2 linked regions of the Caenorhabditis elegans genome follow. The protein of the gene in region 2 interacts with the protein of the main gene of each other region in a pairwise test. Each region holds a gene or a part of one and is shown on either strand. Other genes may lie near its edges. The genes, in order: tbx-9 and ceh-2.

Evidence for each region.
Region 1: the proteins of ceh-2 (region 2) and tbx-9 interact in a two-hybrid assay, tested with the Caenorhabditis elegans proteins (one large-scale study listed by BioGRID).

What each region holds. Positions count from the first base shown.
Region 1 is NC_003281.10:10,339,626-10,343,551, forward strand, and holds tbx-9 (T-box transcription factor tbx-9), read right to left. Parts: upstream 2,234-3,926; 5' UTR 2,227-2,233; coding exon 1,934-2,226; intron 1,509-1,933; coding exon 1,433-1,508; intron 1,376-1,432; coding exon 1,223-1,375; intron 797-1,222; coding exon 440-796; 3' UTR 381-439; downstream 1-380. UniProt on the Caenorhabditis elegans protein: Transcription factor. Involved in the control of early morphogenesis of the intestine, hypodermis and body-wall muscle. Involved in regulating expression of vab-7. Appears to have partially redundant function to tbx-8.
Region 2 is NC_003279.8:6,048,624-6,052,549, forward strand, and holds the start of ceh-2 (Homeobox protein ceh-2), read right to left. Parts: upstream 1,829-3,926; 5' UTR 1,765-1,828; coding exon 1,675-1,764; intron 1,155-1,674; coding exon 911-1,154; intron 837-910; coding exon 664-836; intron 1-663. UniProt on the Caenorhabditis elegans protein: Required for activity of the M3 pharyngeal motor neuron.

The sequences.
Region 1 (3,926 bases), on a different chromosome or scaffold from region 2:
TTCAAAAAGTCGAACCCTTGACTACAGTAGTCTTCTAAAGAATTACTGTAGTTTTCGCTACGAGATATTTTGCGCGTCAAATATGTTGCGCAATACGCATCCTCAGAATTGTGTGTTCTCGTAATGTCTTGAAAATTTTCCATTTCAACATCAAATAAGCAAATCTAAAAATGTGGGTTCTGCAGCGACCACTATGACTGTGATCGTGGCAAGACCCACTCAGAAAACTACGTGTTCCTTTAAACAATACATTTTTAAGTATTGTAGGTATAAAAATTGTTGGCTAGCAGTCTAGGCTGCCTTTTTCAGTCGACAAACTTCTAATTTAATCGGCGGGTCTTCAAAAAGTCGTTTCTTTGAAAATATAAAGCTTTATATATTTATATATTAAAAATTTTGATTACATGATATCAAAAGCGACCAGTTTGCATAAAAATTATCAACCAACAATATCAATATCTTCTTCTACCTCCTGATCCTCCTCCTTCACAATGCTCAGCTCACTGCTCGAGCTGGAAGGAGTCGACGGGAGAGGCGAGAGAAATGGAAAAGCGAATGGAAATTGGACTGGAAGATTTTCAGATAACATATGGGGAAAATAAAAAAGAAATGGGTTGATTGGAGGCATCGACTGAAGAGGTGCGACCTCCGGTGGTGATCTGGATTTTGGCGATGGGGACTGTGAGTTGCTGCCGTCGGAATATGATGGTGATCTTCTCTTGCGACTCAAGTTCCCGTCACGGAAACCTTTGGCAAAACTGTTGTGCTTGATTTTCAAGTCGGTGATTTTTTGGTTCTGAAATGAGGAAAAATTAGGTTTATTATTCAACTCTCTCTATCTTTGAAAACAAAGAATCTATTAAGAAATTGTTAAACACCATATTATGGATCACAAAGCGAGCAATATTTTTGTAGTTGACAACTTTTATATAGCTCTTTTTATTGGCGAGGTAGGAGTGCTTAAAGTAGCGCAGTTTCAAATTTATAAATAGAGCCAAATTTTGAGCAAGTGTAACTCTCCTTCTTTTAACTCTATTAAAAACTTGTCAACTAACTAATTAATCTTTACAACTAGGGTTACAAATTATTAGTTAACGACTTCTTGATAAGTATGATGGTTGACAAGACTTCCCCCTTCCTTCCCAGATTTCCCATTGTTCACAAAATATTGATTCTTCCGAGATAAGATCCATGCGCTAATACTCTTACTCTCAATACTAACCTGGTAAGCCGTTACTGCAATAAACTCGGTATGAGGGAATTTGGCGGTGGCGACGATTTGGTTTGAGGATTGTGGGACGCAGAAAGGGCTCTCCGATGGAGACTCGTAGATTGTCAGCACTGGAATGTACTTGTGCATGCTGTTGAGGTAAATCTGAAATTTCAATTTTAAATTGGAAATTGCCAAGTAATTTTAAAGTTGAAATCCTACCATTGAAGCGTTGTTGGACTCTGAATAGTTGGAGATTTTCACACGATCAAAGCAAATCGAACTCCACATCCAGTCACTGAAATTAATTGGGGTTACTTTGAAGATATAAATTTAGCAAATTTAGAATTATTTTCATCTGAATTATGTTGTCAGTTGACAAACGACAAACTTTGAAAACTTTAATGTTAGATGAGATGTAACCCTCAAAATATTCCAAAGGCATTTGAATGCCAGTGTCGGCAGCTCTAACTCTTCAATGGCTCAAGCTAGAAAAAAGTTGTCAACTGGCAAATTGTAGATGATAAATCAGTTAACAATTTTCCAGTTAACATCTTTTTTAAAACTTCCAAGCCCGCTGAGATATGGCGCTTTGAAGTTGTAATACCAGGGCGGAGCTAAAAAAAGTTGCCAATTGACAAAATGGTTCTCACTATTTTGATAATCATGTCAGTTTACAAATCTTCATAGCTTCTAATCTTCCAATTCCTATGTCACACTCACCTTCCCTTCCGAACTCCATCAGCATGCCACATCTTCTTCGCGTCGACCTGCTTCTCAGCTTTGCCCGTTTCCTGCCACTTTCCACCGCTGAACTTGAATCGACTTTCTCCAACTGGTTGTAATTGGAGCATTATTGCATACAGCTTGTTTTCATCAAGCCCTTCGACTATATATTCCAACTTTGGGAACAACTTTCGGCCGTTCTTCGTGACAATCATCTCGTTGACTTCTGCGTGGAATATCTTCCAGAGAGTTTCTTGGGATCCTTCGATTGATACTTTGACTTTGGACATTTTTTGTCTGAAAACGTTAAAATATATTATGAAAACGAACAGCAAAAAAAAAGTTGGAAAATGGTATAAGATATAATGTTATATTCTCACCGGTTTGGCAGCTACACTTGCTTAGAGTGTGGTACCAGTGAGAAGGAGGAGCGGGAAAACTATTCTAACTTAAAAACGGTGGTATCTAGCAAAAAGTTGTTAACTAACAAAGCAACAATGATAAAATTTGCAATATTTTGTTAGTTGACAACTATTTGGTATCTCTTGCCAGTTTTGAGATAACGTCTGAGATATCCCCGCCGTTCAAAAATAAGAAAACAAAAAAATAGAAAAATAAGAAACACGATAAGATAGAGATGTCATCACAAAAAAATGGTGATTTAAGACAAAGAAGTGAGAAATTGTGCACATCTTCACCCCATCTCACCTCATTGCCAAACCACACCCCTCTGCAAGGGCGGGCAGGTTGTGCGCGTGGCCCTCTCGGCTATCGATTCTGGGAAGACTTGGCGGCTGACTGGTAGATCAAAAGAGTTGGGTATACTTTCAAAACAAAATTGGGAGATCAAATTCTGATGTGGCATAGAAATAGAGAAGACGGTCCGAAAATGTTGGTTTTATGTAAACTTCAAAAAATGTTCAAAATTTAAAGATGATACAACTTCCTTATTAATTAAAGAATTATGCTATGTATACCATGCTTATCGACAGTATGGATTTTGTATATTTTTACTTTGAGATCACTTTTCTCAAGAAAGAATGACAGTAAAAATTAATGTAAACTGAATTTTTTTGTACCATATAAAAACCGAAATTTGAAAAAAATAACTTTATTTAATGTTTCAAAATAAAGATTTTACCATTTTACATTTTCATACCTTCCACAATTACCCATTATTCCATCTTCAAACCCTCCTTCTATTTCCAGATAATATACCATTTCCAAGTATACCCCTTTTTTGTCGGTTACCTCCAAAAGAGCATACGTTGTAAAATTTTTGAGCCGGTTAGTTGTAGTGGGCTCTTTTGATAGAACACCGACAGTATTGACTGGAGGTGTAAAAATTGGTAGCTGAAGGAAAATGGATAAAAGAAAACATTGGTTAACGGATCAAAATTATTTTGCATTTTTAGACATAAAGTGATATTAAAAATTCGAATTTCATAACGAATGTTCTAAAACATTGCTCAAAAATATTAGGAAAAACTCTCCAAATTTTGCAGATCCATTAAAATTTCTGAGCAATTTTTGAGCAAACCTTTTAAGTCTATAAGTCAGGATAATTTTGATATATTCGTCTTCCCAAAAGCTATCAAAAAGATGTCAACTTTCAAAAAAAAACTCAATTTTTTTCCGGGGTCTAACTTTTTTGTGGATGCAGCTATCAAAAATTTGTCAACTAACTGATTGTTCATAATTTCCAGAGCTATATTTTGTCAGTTGGCAACTATTCGGTAAACTCGAAGCTTTTCGAGATAATCGTTTCCCAAATTGTTATCTGAACCCAAATTTCTCCGACCCCATTAGCCCCATTTTCCTAGAAAATAAGACTGATCTCCAAAACACCAAAAAAAAAGCTGTAAAACTTTACTCTTCCCAAAACTCTCCGAGTCGGTGTTTTTACGGGGGGTACCTCTAAATCAGGTGGTCGATAAACATCGTGGCGGATTTATAACCTCCACAATTGTTAGTTGGCGTCAATGGATAT
Region 2 (3,926 bases):
GTATCTTGATTCAAGATAAAGATATAAAAAACTTTTAACTTCCAAATTGTAGAAAAACTTCTGATAAGTAATGTTATAGTTGACAAAATTTTGACATCTTTGAAAAAAACCGAGATATGAGCTTCCAAAGGTAAATCGGTAAGTTACTTTTAGTTTTATCAAAAAACAACGAATTAATAAATTATTGGCCAAAAAGTTTTTTATATTTTTGTAGTCAAACATTTTCTGATTTTTTTTACATATTCTTTCAGATACAATATTCCATAATTTTATACTTAGCCTCACTCTAACGTTACACAAATTCAAAGATGCCTACCCAAGCCATTTGTTGCGCTCAATACATGGCGCATCGACTCCACGTTTCGTATTCACTTAGTTTTTTGAAACATTGACTGTGAAATACTTGTGAAATACACCTGTTTATCATAGAGAAAACCCGAAAACTTGTAGAACATGTTATATAACGTGAGGCAAGCGCGGGCAAATGAAGGGAAGGGTCGAGGCGCCCTTTTCACGCCTCGACCGTGAAAGAGGAAAAACTCGGTCAATTGTAACAAAAGAGTTTAAAATTATCCGCAGTTGTGTGGAAGAGAACTCTTTCAGTTTCTGTGAGTGGCCGAGTTTTCTGTATCGTGCGGCCACGTGTCAAACACGAACACTCACCTGTGTTTCCGTTAAGCTCAACTTTGCTGCCAACTGTTTTCGCTCATTTCCCACGACGTAATGATTTCCTTCGAATGCCTTTTCTAGTTGTATCAGTTGAGATGCACTAAATGCCGTTCGAATTCTTTTGTTTTTTCGGAGAGGTTGAAGAAAGAGCCCAGCTGTGACGTCACCTGTAAAAATTTTATATTTTCTCAAGTTTAAAGTCTTTATAATTTATTTTAGGAAACTCGATTGATAATCTTACCGAATTGTGCAGCTGTCGTACTTTGCAACAATTCAAGCCATGGATGTTGCCATACAGATCCGCCAGCACCTGTATTCAAATTCTGATCTCCACTGCCTGATGCTCCAATACCCGAAATAAACGGATTCGAACAAGCCATTTGAACATGCGGAAGAAGAACGTCAAAATATGAGAGTGTCTGTGAAAGTGGCTCATTCTTTCCTGATTTTTCACATAGTTCATCGTCTTCTTCGTCTTCTTCTAGCTGGGATTTATTTGACATTTAAGTTTGTTTTTTTTTTTGAAAAATTTGAAAAAATAGCATGGTGGAAGAGTTTGTTTTCATGGGGCAATAATTTGCAATATTCTGCTCAATAGTTGATTTGTATTTTAAAAGTACGTTTAAAACTTTACAAACGGAATTCGTAAAAGAGGAAATAAGTGGAAACTAGGTCACGGTATGTAAAGGAAACTGACTAAAAGCAGGCTTCAGCCTTTGAGTTTAAAAAAAGTAGCCTCCAATGCGGATTTGAGCTCTACGGAATTTACTGAATTATTATATTTGAAAATTCGTATTTTTTCACTCATCTTGGACAGTTTTGAAAACCAACATTTCTATGCAATAATTTACAGATTTAAAGTCTAGAAAATTATCTAGGGACAACTTATACATTAGACAAGAAAAAAAAATTTCGGAGAGCTAAATTCCCCACAATTTTTTTGGAACCTCATTTTCAACTCTAAAGACAAGATTTTTAAATCTTATAATTCCAATTTTCACTTACTTTTTTCAAATTATTTTGCTCTTCCACGTCGGCTTCTTCCGATTCCTTCTCACTATCCACCAGTCGTTCCACCGAAAATTTCAGAGTCATTTTCACTCCGAATATTAGAAAAAATAAGTAAACTAGCCAAAAAGGGTAAGTTGATTTCCCAAATGAGAACCTATTTTACTGAATCTCATCTTAGGCTCCGCCCAGTTTCGCGCAAAAGAGGGAGGAGCGTCGATGGGTAATTGGACACAGTAGCCGATAAGGTAGAAGCTCTTAGAAGAGAGATCATTGGGAATAAAGAGACGATAGACAAATAAAGAATTGAAAAGAATAGGAAGTAGGTTAATAAGTTGAAATATTAATTTGAGGTTTAAAGTTTTGAAAACTCTCATGGTGTAATCACAATTCATTGCATTCTTTTGGAGCAATGTAACGTCAGCGATAGTCGTCGTCTTAGGGATTTCTAGTACATATATTGTTGCTTTCACGAACATTTTTCTTGACATATGAATTAAATCTCCAGACTTTAATAAGTAGTTTATGTGGAAATCGGCAATATCTCGTGGTGCCCTGTTTTTACAACTCGTCTACTCGGCAACCGGGTGCCTATGTAATCGGCAACTGGGCGACCGAACTACCTTGTGTACACATGCTCATGATGATGCTCATTGTCCCGAATTAGAAGATGAGTTGGAAATGGAGATTGAAAATGTATCCGAAATATGTACAAATCGCAGATCTCGGATTACATCTTTTGTGCGCCCGAAAGCAGCGGACGTTGGGCTCAGAAATAGGTATATTATGTTAGTAATCGAGGTGAAGTGAGCACGAGATGAGCACAAAATTTATAAAATTGTTCAAAAAGAAACTGAAGAGAGTGGGATTCGAACCCACGCCCCCGAAGGGACTGGTGCCTTAAACCAGCGCCTTGGACCGCTCGGCCATCTCTCCGACGACAGCAACAGGAGCGAAGTGTGTAGAGCAGCAGGTGGAATATCAAATGTCACTCTTTGGGGTTTTCAAATCAAAAAGGCTTAAATCAACTTTTCAGAGAGCAATAATTTCCGAACAGCATACAAGATTGTTATTATATAATAGATTCAACCTCTACGTTGGATAGACACTGACGACATCGAGATTATGTAATTGTGTACCAGACTCGGCGGAGGTAACCTGACTCGCCGTGAGCTGAGCTAGCGCCCATATTTATTCATTATTATTGTTATAATAAATAGGTCATTAGAAGGGTAACAAAGAAGTTGTTATTGTTGAATATGCGAGAATTTTTGAACAGAAACGAATGGGTGGGTTTACCCAAAATCCAGGGTGGCGAAAATACTTTACTCAACTGAAAAAGTCCTAACAAGGGAAGTCTTTGAGGGGGTCCGTAGATTTGGGGTTCTCATGCTAAAATTCCTACAGAAGAGTGTTAGTTATGATCTCTCCAAAAAATTTAGCTGCCCAGGTCAAGTTTCAGCAAAGTTAAGACGTTTTGAAATTTCAGTTAAAAACACCATTGAAATCCACTGTCTTACCATGCAATCCACGCAAATCTCAGCTTGCGTGACCACCGAAAATGTGACACCCACCACATTGAGTTGTAAAATGTCCTCGGTGGCCGAGTTGGGAGTGCGCGCGTCTGATAAGATTTAAGCTTTGGTTCGATTCCTTCTATTTTTGAAATATTTTTGTAAGTTGAATAAAGTTGTAAAACAACTCATTCAAACATTTTTGCGCATTTTTAAAGTGATTTTATTCTTATTCGGGAACCTAGAATCATTGTCCGCACTTTTTGGAAATTTTTATTTTTTTCATTTTTGCTCAAAATTTCTTGATCAACTCCAAGCAAAAAATTCAAAAAATTTCATTTTTCTAAACAATTATGAAATTGCTATGTTGTTGTTCAGAAATGTATAAAACGTACATTACACAAGTTTTAACTCTCTATTCGCAAGTAAACCGTCGAAATGATCTACATCTCACGAACTTTGTGCAAAATATTTAACCAACTTTGAAGTTGCATAACTTCGTTGAGATAAAATATTTTGAAAAATGATCAACTAACAAAATGTTTGTTGAATAATAGTGAACAAAGTTTTAGTTATAAACTTTTTGATACCTTCAGCCACCAAAACGTTGTGACCGTTTTCCAAAACACAATGTTAATAGAAAAACTAGCCAAATGCCAACCTTGTTTTCTTCTTTGTAGCTGGAGGTATCAAAAAGTTTATAACTAAAACTTTGTTCACTATTATCAACAAACA